Oreochromis niloticus: one gene and its partners. The protein of the gene in region 1 purifies or fractionates together with the protein of each later gene. This does not show direct contact. Links are inferred from orthologs where the notes say so. Each region holds a gene or a part of one and is shown on either strand. Other genes may lie near its edges.

What was found.
Region 2: the proteins of dhx9 (region 1) and prpf8 fractionate together in Homo sapiens (co-fractionation; 3 studies listed by BioGRID, with this or other methods). This does not show direct contact. The link is inferred for Oreochromis niloticus from reciprocal best matches to the Homo sapiens genes DHX9 and PRPF8.
Region 3: the proteins of dhx9 (region 1) and hnrnpd purify together in Homo sapiens (affinity purification with mass spectrometry; 3 studies listed by BioGRID and IntAct, with this or other methods). This does not show direct contact. The link is inferred for Oreochromis niloticus from reciprocal best matches to the Homo sapiens genes DHX9 and HNRNPD.

What each region holds. Positions count from the first base shown.
Region 1 is NC_031982.2:34,273,536-34,277,287, reverse strand, and holds the start of dhx9 (ATP-dependent RNA helicase A), read left to right. Parts: upstream 1-935; 5' UTR 936-1,087; intron 1,088-1,880; 5' UTR 1,881-1,924; coding exon 1,925-2,035; intron 2,036-2,109; coding exon 2,110-2,250; intron 2,251-2,358; coding exon 2,359-2,467; intron 2,468-2,601; coding exon 2,602-2,768; intron 2,769-3,147; coding exon 3,148-3,296; intron 3,297-3,752. UniProt on the Homo sapiens protein: Multifunctional ATP-dependent nucleic acid helicase that unwinds DNA and RNA in a 3' to 5' direction and that plays important roles in many processes, such as DNA replication, transcriptional activation, post-transcriptional RNA regulation, mRNA translation and RNA-mediated gene silencing.
Region 2 is NC_031979.2:19,593,810-19,597,561, forward strand, and holds the start of prpf8 (pre-mRNA-processing-splicing factor 8), read right to left. Parts: upstream 2,950-3,752; 5' UTR 2,738-2,949; intron 2,050-2,737; 5' UTR 2,041-2,049; coding exon 1,896-2,040; intron 1,780-1,895; coding exon 1,611-1,779; intron 1,505-1,610; coding exon 1,340-1,504; intron 1,242-1,339; coding exon 1,023-1,241; intron 918-1,022; coding exon 705-917; intron 506-704; coding exon 380-505; intron 215-379; coding exon 109-214; intron 1-108. UniProt on the Homo sapiens protein: Plays a role in pre-mRNA splicing as core component of precatalytic, catalytic and postcatalytic spliceosomal complexes, both of the predominant U2-type spliceosome and the minor U12-type spliceosome.
Region 3 is NC_031972.2:11,790,750-11,794,501, forward strand, and holds the start of hnrnpd (heterogeneous nuclear ribonucleoprotein D0), read right to left. Parts: upstream 2,474-3,752; 5' UTR 2,101-2,473; coding exon 1,934-2,100; intron 957-1,933; exon of another isoform or gene 927-956; intron 576-926; coding exon 407-575; intron 51-406; coding exon 1-50. UniProt on the Homo sapiens protein: Binds with high affinity to RNA molecules that contain AU-rich elements (AREs) found within the 3'-UTR of many proto-oncogenes and cytokine mRNAs.

The DNA of each region.
Region 1 (3,752 bases):
AGACAAGAATCTGAACTTAGTTAAAGAATCTCCTGGTTTAAAGAAAATACTCTGACCTTTTACCGATTTTTAACAAACTGAATCTCACTGAAAATAAAATATTATTATTATAAACTGTTAAGTCTCTTGTGTTGGAACAAATTAATCATCAGATGTGATCACGCAGTTTGTTGCTTTGCTGTTTGTAAATGCAGAAAGTTTGACTGTGCTGAACCAAATGACTCAGTTTTGTCTTTACGATGTGAAAATACTCTTTTAGATTCCTCTTTTTCTGCCTCAGATGCCCTAAATGAAATCAAGTTCCCACTGAAAATCCATTCGTTTCCTTAAAAACACTTTAAGAGATGCAGGCAGGGCTGTTAGATGATTTTCTACTATTGTTTTCACATGATCTATAAATCTTATTGAGCTCGGTCCTTCAGGTGCTTCAGGTTAAATATCTGGTGCCTTCAGGAGGGGAGCTCAGGTTAACACAGACTGATGAATGTTTCATTTGTCTGTCTGTCATATACAAGAAACATCACCTTCTTTAAAACACTCCAGATCAGCTGGTTTCACAGGAGTTAATGCCTGAATACAAAAAAAATATCAATTCAATATTATATTTTATCCATTCTGTTCTATTTTTTGTTCTGTTCTGTTCTTTTATTCTGTTCTGTTCTTTTATACTTTTCTAATACTTATACTAAATATAAACTAAAGGTTTATAAAACTGGCCTGGCTTTATTACTTTCACTGTAACTGGCATTTATAACTATGAGGCTCAAATCTGTTTCGCTGGTGTAAAGATGACTGACCTCTGTACCAAAGTGTTCATGAAAAGAGAAACATGGAGCACAGCTTTCATGTATTCTCTCCACTGTGTTAGAACAATAAAGGCTAAAAATATTTAGTAAAAGAAGAAGAAGAAGAAACAGAACTTGGTGGAGGACGATTCTCCCTCCGGCCTGAGGGGGCGCTGATGCACCGGGAGTTTATTTATTTTTTAACCGAAAGTGAAGTGCAGCCGGAGGAAGCCAAGGCTGCTAGGCTACCGGTGCTTAGCTGCTGAAGTCTGGAGCAGCTTTTGCATTTTTCTGACCTGACTGTAAGTACAAATACTTCGGGTTATTTATACCTGCATTTCTTCTTAATTTAATCATATTTTTAATGCGACGCGATGTGAGTGGCAGTTCCGGTGATCAGTAGCTAGCAGGGAGCTAACATTAGCCTGCAGTCACGCATTGATTCGGTTAATTTCAGACATTTATGTGAAACTAATTTTTATCTAAATTGTACTGAAAGTTTCAAGATAAGTGACTTAAATTCGTGATTATAAGCCATAAATGTAATTTTACGCTTTGAGGCTAATGTTAAATGCTAGCCAAACATTAGAGAGTTGAATCTGATGATGATAAAAGTCCACAGTAAAAACAACCCGCTGTGCTAATGACGCTGTTATCGTTTGTATCCCGAATCACCGCAGACAGCGGGATTTATCCTAGCAGTGGACAGTAAATGCATCCATGAAGACTGGGTTTGAGTTACTTCATTCAATTTCCGTATTAGATTTATGTTGAGTAAAGTGACTCTGATCCATACAGCCATGTTTACATAAGTGAGTCACTATCAAAGACCCGTTTGGGTTCAGGCAAGACCAAAGTTCATCTTAAAAGGTGGTAAGCAGACAGCAGCAAGGCTTCTACCAGAGTTTGGCCAGTTAATTATTTCAGTAATTTCTTAGATGTGATATTATCATTTCTCAGTTCAGCAAACCGACTTTTTTTGGCAATATTTACTGACTTTCATCCCTCTGTGACTCCAAACCAAATGATGTTCACAGTAAATGCCAGATCTAAGCTAAATATCGAGGAGTTTGACAGCAGTTTATTGTTTCTCAGATTAACGGGTTCACGGAATAGGAGGACCCTCCTGTCAGTCCACCATGGCGGACATCAAGAACTTCCTGTACGCCTGGTGTGGGAAAAAGAAGCTGACTCCAAACTACGACATCCGAGCAGCGGGCAACAAAAACAGGCAGAAGTTTATGTGTGAGGTGAGCGTTCGGTCTGACGTCAGGGGGTTTAACTCTGGGAGGTTTTTGTTAACCTTACACCGTACTCCCTGCAGGTCCGAGTCGATGGCTTCAACTACATTGGGATGGGAAACTCCACCAATAAGAAGGACGCGCAGACCAACGCCGCCCGCGACTTTGTCAACTATCTGGTCCGAATAGGAGAGATGAACGCAGCAGAGGTCCCGGCCATCGGGGTCAGGAAGCTGTTCCTGTTTTTCCTTCTTTTTTTCTGTAGAGATAAAAAACGATCATTTCTCTCACTTTGTCTCTTTTAAATGAACAAGTACGTTTTCTGCCATCAGGTGAGCACGCCCATCGCAGATCAACCTGATGCAGCTGGAGATGCTGGCTTTGGAAACCTCCCTTCTAGCGGTCCTCTACCACCTCACCTGGTAGTGAAAGCTGAGCAAGGTAACGGTAGCATGGTGGCTTTAACGACTCCAAACATCACAAGTTCTTACTTTAATGTGGTGAGTCGAGTCGGATTAAACGGGTTCAGATATTCAGCTGGTTTCTTTCTGCTTCTCCTTCTTTATTGTTCTCAGGGGACGGCAGCGTCAGTGGGCCGGTTCCAGGAGTGACCGGACTGGGTTATGCAGGAGGAGGAAACTCCGGTTGGGGCAGAGGAGGAAGTGACGGAGGAGCTCAGTGGGACCGAGGAGCCAACCTGAAGGAGTATTACGCCAAGAGAGACGAACAGGAAGCACAGGCGGTACAAGATAATTCCAAATTACAGTGCAGTGAAAAGCATTGGTAATGTTAACATTAAGCTCCTTAACAGGAAGTAAGCTGCTCCTAAGTTACAGTCGTCCCCCTAAAGCTCAAATCTGAACCAGAACCTTGGACAGATTTACTAAACTTGGAACAACCAGCCAAGTTTACACTACAGGAACTGCTGTTTCACTCCGAGGACTCTGCTTTCATGAAGGAAACTGGCACTCGGGGAATACTTTTTTTTTTTTTTTTAAACTTCGGCCATTAATAATATGCAGATGCATCATTAGAACCAGAATAAGTTCCCTTTTTTTTAATCTTCAGGTTTGATTTCTCTCCCTCGCTAAACAAACTCCCGCCTGTTGTTTTGTTTGCAGACTCTGGAGTCGGAGGAAGTGGATCTGAACGCTAACCTTCACGGAAACTGGACTCTGGAGAACGCCAAGGCCCGTCTGAACCAGTTCTTCCAGAAGGAGAAAACCAGTGCTGAGTATAAATACAGCCAAGTGGGACCGGACCACAACAGGTCTGGAATCTCAGAGGTTTTTAAACCGGCTGGAAATTCTAAACCAGATCCAGTCTGAGGGGTCACAGCTGGAACCAAAACAAACACTGTGATTTTAATGAGCTTCAGCTGCTTGATAATTCTCTTTAGCTGGAGAAAAATCAGAAGTATTTTCTAAAAGCAACTGTGATTTTGACCAAAGGATTTGATTTCTCAATTTTCAGTGAATTGACTGAATCTCTGCTGGAAGTATTTTGTTTCCCTTCAGTTTGGATTTGGTTTGGAGTTCACTGCCGGCCTTTGGCCACAGACCTGTTTTATTTTGCATGTTCAGACATTAAGTTTATGATTGTACTGATACTGCAGAGCCAGCGCTGCTTATTTTAGTCATTCAGCTCAGAGATAAAGGCAAAGATTGACCCAGCCCTGTCCCCAAAGAGCCGCTCAGCAACCAAACTGGGGAAACACGAACTAATC
Region 2 (3,752 bases), on another chromosome or scaffold:
CCAGTTCTTACGCACGGGCAAGCAGTCCAATGCAAGTGCGCCTTTGTAAGAGGACTGTGATGCAGGGTGTTATTCACCAAAGGGAGATAAGTAGATAATGTGCATTACCTTAACAGAATGTCTGTGTGAAATGGGGTTGATCAGCGGGTCAAAGTAAAATGCGGGAAGATCGGGATCTTCTGTTTTGATAAAAACCACATTTGGTGTGTGGTACCTGGGGAAAACAAAACAAAAACATCACAAGTGTTGCTTTTATATAGCCATTATGAAAAATAATGCAGCAAATCTATGATGTTTATAAGTGATGAATGTCTCTCCTGTCTTGAATGAAAAAGGATTTTTCAGTCAGCCAGCATTTCAAGTAAACAGCAGTTCTCACCAGGTGAGGTGGACGTGGTGCGGCAAATTGTTGTACAGGTAGGGGAAGGCGATTTTGTACTCTGTCCTGATGGGCTGTCGGATGATGATTTTGTTGATGTCGTTGAACTCGTTCCAGTCTTCATCCCTACAGAGGATACAGAGGAACCAGTTAGGACACAAAACAGCCAGCATCTGTTCTCACGTTATGTTTGGATTAAAACAGCAATATCAAATAATTTCCAAGAAATATTTAAATTCTGAAAGCGAAACTATAAAAACTTTATTAACATTAATAACAGTAAGTCTTTAGAATATTCATTTTTTAAAAGGGTGAAAGAACATACTGGAGGTTGATGTCTCTGACCAACGGCTCAAACTTTGGCCCTCCAGGGATGGCCATGTTTAAAGCCTTGGATGTGAAGAAAGCCTTCAGGTCAAACAGATAGAAGTAGTTTCTATCAACCAGATCTGTCAGAAGCTGATTGGCCAGACGGTACAGTGTGGACATCATGGGCAGTGTGAACTGCCAGCGACGATAGGTGGTGCCATTCACAAACCTGAGCAAGACAAAGATAAATCATCAATTAATGTTTCAAGCAACACATCAGTTGAATATGCAAAACTTAAAATCTTTGTCTGTGAAGAGAGCCATGGCTGCTTACTTGGCTGTGTCCTTGAGGGGCTGATGTTCATAGAACCAGTCCACAACTGAAGCATCTTCCTCCGGATCAAGCTCCATCTGAATGGCCTCCAAGGGTTCCACATCAAGAATGTTGTCAGCGTAGTCCAGTGGCGGCTCCTCATCATCAAAGGGTGGAAAGCGCATTCTTTTGAAGTGCCGACGATCTCTTTTCTCACGACGCATCATGATCCACATGGTGCTGGGATTAAAATCGGGAAAGAGACAAATTGAAGTTTTATTGAATGGAAATGAGCACAGTTGGCTTGAAAGTTTTCAGCAGTAGAAACTCTCCCTTACCCCCACTGTGAAATGTAGACTGGCTCAATGACCCAAGGAATTTCATTGACAAAGGAAATGGCTCCAGTGATGTGATAAAGCACGGGCACATCTCGAATCTGTTCCCAAGGCATTGGCATGTTTTCCAACAGCTTCAGCACTGCATGGGGCATGTACTTGAGGGCACTGTTCAACAGACAGACACAGAACGCACATATGAAGATGTTATCAAGAAGAAAACACACCGACTTTTGTTAAGACTTTTAAAAAGAGTTAAAGGAGTCATCTTTACCCAAGGTAGACCCTCTTGTCATGGCGAAACTTTCTATTGGTCATGTCTCCATGGTCCCTGATGATCTTGCGGACATGTTCAGGTGGCATATCTTCTTTCTGAGCATCCACAAACCCAAACTTTCTCTTTTCTGAGTAGCGCTTTGCCTGTAACTGCTGCCATTTTCTTGCTGTAGAGTTGAAAGACATTTAATAATCGCGAAGTTAATCTTGTCTATTTGTGAAAACTTCTTCGCTAAAAGCTCAAAACATGGAAGTCCTGCTTTAGTCAATACAAACAACATACCCTTCTCTTGTAATTTCTCCTCAGACATGTAGTCTGGGACAGGTGCAGGAGGGGGCACACCAGGCGGCACAGCAGGTGGTACCCCTGGTGGCACACCGGGTGGCATCGCTGCAGGGACGCCTCTGTAAGGAAAGGCAGCTGCCATGGTGCCTCACTATCCAAAACAAAGACACAAAACAAGGTATGAAAATAAGTGAGATTTTTGATTATAACTGTATATAATGAAAACCCTGAGGAGAGAGGCTTTACATGTCAAACAAGCCAACTTACACTTAACTTAACTGAAACAAAGACTGATCAGAAACTTATTACATTGGCACATGAATTCCTTGTCTGGCTCCTGCAACCCACAGATTAAATAACAGAAGCCACAAAGTGAACGTGTGTGCTTAATGCCTTGCAAGCTCTGGAAAATAGAATGGCCTTGGAGAAAAATGCCTTTCAAAAATAATAAGTAGCTTCTTAATTCGGTAGAAAATGCATTTATTGCACATTAACTAATCTGTGTAGCTTCAACATCTTCGTGCTCATAGTTGATGAGCTAGCTACGTTAGCCTAACATGGCCTCCCGGATGGCACAAAACTGCAACAGCAAGGCGAACTTTACCCGCGTTTAACTGTCGTTAGCCCGTTCAGAAACAGCGTAAACTCGGGATATCATTCATAAATGGCTACATTATGTTACATGTAACACATTGTAATTCACACTGCAACACTAGTTATTAATTAGGCCAAGCGTGGAGGAAGCGGCAACTTAGCCAACTGCTAAAGCTAGCACGGTGGCTAACGATTGAGTGAGAGGTAAAACTAAGCGATAACAGAATGCATTCAACAACACGTACCTCGCTTACTTCACTCCCAGCGTTTCTTATCGTTGGATAAAGCCTTAATCCGCACACAGTCAGCTAGCACAACATTTCTTTCTTATTCTCCGTGTTTTTCCGCCTCAGTGTTGGGCTGATGTGCGCTAACACAAAACTGCATAAACGCACGACGCACGACAGCGGACACACGATGAACGAGCTTCAGTACTATTCACAGACGGCGGTTACGTCCGATATTTCTCTCCACCGGTAAAGAATCTGCTTTACGTCAGAAAATATGCGTAGACGTTAAACAAGCGCAATTTTTGAGAATACCCGGATGATCATGTTTCCGGCGCACTACTGCCCCCTGCAGTGTTGGAGTGCGATCGTCAGCGATCATATACTGAGTCCTGTAAAGTTTGTGGCTTAAACAAAAACATGATTTGCTGATGTGTTGTATTATTTAATCACATTCAAAGTATTTCATTACAGTTATTTGCTTCTTGTTTTATTTCTGACATGAGGTCATTTATTTCTTTTGTCATTTCCTTTTTGCCCCTTGTACTCCTAGGGACTCCATAGGGACTACAAACACAAGAGCCTGCCAGACCAGACGTCACATAGCAGGTAACAGTGGCGTGTCTAGAAAATTTTTGTTGGGGGGGGCCAGGTAGGGGTACAGATTTGGAGAAGGGTGGCAGATGTAATTGGCAGATAATGTTAAAAAAGAACTTTCTACCAACCGTTAACCATAATTCAATAACCCTATAAACCTAATAACCGAATGCGCTTTTAACTCTTATTAGAATGAGATTTTAACCACTATAGTGCAAAGTTTTTAGATATTGCGTTGATAAAGTACAAGAGATACAATAAGTGCTTTGTCATTGTTTATTCAGCATTCAAGGACAGCAATATTTGCATAGTATTTTTATGGAAATATAGTGCACATATGTTTTGGGCAAAAACATTTTTGAATATTAAAATACGAACATTTTTAACATACAATTGGCAAATTAGCCAATGCCAATGCAAAACTTTATCTGCCTAT
Region 3 (3,752 bases), on another chromosome or scaffold:
TTGGGGTCAATGACCTTCCCATTAAGTTTATGTTCTTTCTGTGAGGCAACCTGTAAAGCAATATAGACAATTGACAAAAATTTACATACGTGAATATTTCATCTTTCATCTTGATTTAGCGGAATGGATGTTTGATTGTTTGGGCATCATTGAGACCAAACTTTTATTATATGTTTTATTCATAAACCTCGCAGTACTGTAGTTACATTCATTCTAATTTAAGTCTGTATGACAGGCCAAAAAGGCCAAAAATGAATTTTTTCTGCTAATCATTAAATAAAACTGAAAAAAACCCCCACGCACACAGACATGAAGCTGCACAATCACAGCAAGTTCATGTCTGTTAGAAAAGTAAATTCACTGGTAATTAAAAAAAACACATCCACTTATGGGAACAGGATAATACCTTATCAACACTTTCAGGTTCTTTGAAGAGCACAAACCCAAAACCCCTTGACCGTCCAGTCATGGGGTCCAGCTTTAACGTGCAGTCTACAACTTCCCCAAACTTTGAAAAGTAATCTTTCAGGTCCTTCTTAGTCGTGTCCCAGCTGAGGCCTCCAACAAACATCTTCCTGTTGACAAATCACACAAAAATAAGCAGGTGGTGTCTATGTGTGCAGACTACTTTATAAGACATCTATGCAAGCTTCTTTAAACAGCTGGGCTGCTCAAAGGTCCCCTCATTTGCTAGAAGTAATCTATGTAACTTGCTTAATAAGTAATTTATCATCAATTTACATCCGGACAATACAATATCAAAACACAGCAGATCCTCCATTCATTAGGTGACTAATGAGGACCTGATTTCATCTTTTATGTGCATCCAAAATGTGAACACATACAATGGTTTTTCCGAAATCAAAATGGGCCTTCACATATAAACATGTTTTGTCCATATTAAAATAGAGCAAAGAGTCTGTTACCTTTCTTAACAGAAGCCTGTGAACATCTTCCTGTTGTTTGTGACCATTTGATAAAGAGAAATGTATTTATTCTTGAGTAAATTCAACTATAATCATAAAACGGGGGGTAATTGTTTTGTGATTTTACAGTGATGGTGATTTTTAAATGGTGGAAGTCCGAAACCCCTTTCTATAACAGAATCAGAATACTTTATTGCAGAGAAAACCATGCATATAAATCCACCAGTGAAGTACTGTAGACCTGCAACCAACCAGTTAGCAAGAAAGATGGTTTTGTTTACAACTGCAGTGAAAAAATGTTAAGATATTCCCTAAATTGAACCTGTTCTAATTCTTTTTAATTAAGGGATTCAGTGACCATGTTGATATAAAAGCACTGTGACTCTCAGCCTTTTCTAAAAAGGGAAACAAAAATCCTGCACTGTAATGTATGCTCTTCATACAATTTTGGAACCATTAGCTCCACTAATGATTGATATTGCCAACACTTGAACATTTGCTAATTATTAGCCAATATCCATGAATAGTAACCTAACGCAATCTTCCTCTTTTTGCTGCTCCCATTAGGCGTCGTTAAAACGGATAATCTGCCTATACTTCACCCTATTCTTGGCATCATCTTCTGTCACACCACAGCACAATAACAAACCAATACTCTGTACATGCATCTGTACTTTGATTTTCTGAACAACTGGCAAAGCTGTTTTTCTTAACAGAAAACTGAAAATAATAACAAATATTCAAAATAAATGATATTCGAAAATATCACTTATTTTAGTGTAACATATCCTTTTAAAACCCAAGCTTTTAAAATAGCAAACCGGTAACACTCAAACACCTCGGAAATCGTTCTAGTGTAATGTTTAGTTTATGAATGCAGAAGTAGTACCCAACAATAACAATGCCAGGTCCTGCAAAAATCCGGTCCTGCAGCTACAGCATCTTTTCGATTATCAACAGAGATCAACAGTGAACCTGAGTCTAGCCACCCTTCATCATCACCATACCCTTCATCCTCCTCGTTTTTACTGGCGTCGATCCTTGATCCTTCGGCCTCGCCCCCCATAAGGCCACAGTCCCCCGCTGCTGACATCGGGTCGTCACTGTTCGCCTCTCCATCCTCCTCCATTCTCATCATGTTCGGGTCGTCGCTTAATTCATAATCATCCGACATGTTTCGGCTTTTTCTGGAACAAGTCTTAAACTAAAGCTTCACCCCTAAAGGGCTCTGAAATCCAAGCTACGTCAGATATCTCTGCTGGAGCTAAGCTAACGGTCTGGCTTCTGTCAGCTGATGACAGGCTAGTAGCTGGCTAATATTTTGATATCATATGCTGTTAAATAAAATGTCTGTCGCTAGTTAGAACAAGCTAACTGGTTAGGTTACGTGAATCCAATGTGGGGTTAGTATGAAATTGGAGAAAACACCGCTCGGTATGAAAAAAAAATTAGGTTGAGTTACGATAATATTGAGAGGTGACTTATGAGCGTCGCTTTGTTTTCGTCGCCGTCATTTCTTCTTCGTCGGTTAAAACCGGCTGACAAACCGACGTGAAAGCTAGACCGCCCCCCTCTTTATGTAACAAATAGTACATTTTCGGCTTAATTTCCTCTTTTTTGTGGAGCAGTTTGCAAACTACAGATGAAAAAGAGGAAGTAATTGAGGCAAAAATAAGGAACTGAGCAAAGTAAACAGAAAAATACTAAAGTAGAATTATGTAAAAGACATTTTTCAGTTAGTAATTTATACTCTGAACAAATCTTTGGTCAATAATACACCAAAGACAAAAAGTAGATTCATCATGATTGATGAATCAAATAACCAACCCACCCATCAGCATGTTATAGAATATCATAAGATGCAGAATCTAAGTCATAAAATTTAATTTAATGACTACAGTACTGTGCAAAAGTCTCACCCCTCATTTATTTATATTTTTCTTCCAAGGAGCCAGACTTTTGTCATTTTTTTAACTAATCTTGAGCAAAAATTGTTAAAATCACTTACCTATTGGCACGAACCACTGTTATGTTGACACAAGCTACTTATCAAAGCACCAGTTTTAAATTGCACCTTTAAGGGTTTTTTTGTTTTCCTTTCTTTTTTGTGGTTTTATCATTTGTGATCCTTACTGTTCAATTTGAAAGCACTTTTTTAAAACAGTTTGGACTGAAGAAGAAGACAGGCTTCTGGGGGAGACAAGGCATTTATTAGAAGTCAATTTCCTGAATAATACCAACAATGTTTCACACAAAGTCTGGCAATGTTTCAGTATTTTCACTTCCCAAGATCAACATTACAAATGAACAACAAGTATGGCACATTTAAATAGACACCATTCACCTGTGAGGGGATTAATTAAGACATTCAAACAAAGTTTCAAATGAAGACTCTCATTCTGCTGAGTGCATCTATACTGTAATTATACTTTCTAAAACGAGACAGTTCACTAACTGTACAGGACTCCATACGTCTGCAACACATTTGTTTGGGTAGAGGGGAAGGAAAATGGTACATGAACATTTACAAAATGGTTAAGAAATACAGTTCACGCATATACATTTGGAGAGTGGCAGTCAAATACAGTTCGTCTAAAAGGTAAAAAGCTAGTCTCACATGTCATGTGCAGTTTCCTTCAGGCTTGTAAATGTAAAGCAACAGCTTCCCATTCAATCAAATGGTCCAATGACAATGACGTCCCATTTGTGTTCCTATAATGCTTGGTGCATCCGTTTCTATTCATGAGAAAGGCATCCTGAAAGAACTGCATAGTGAGCCACCTTTAAAGACTGGAATTTCATGATCAGCCCCATTGATTGCCAGCA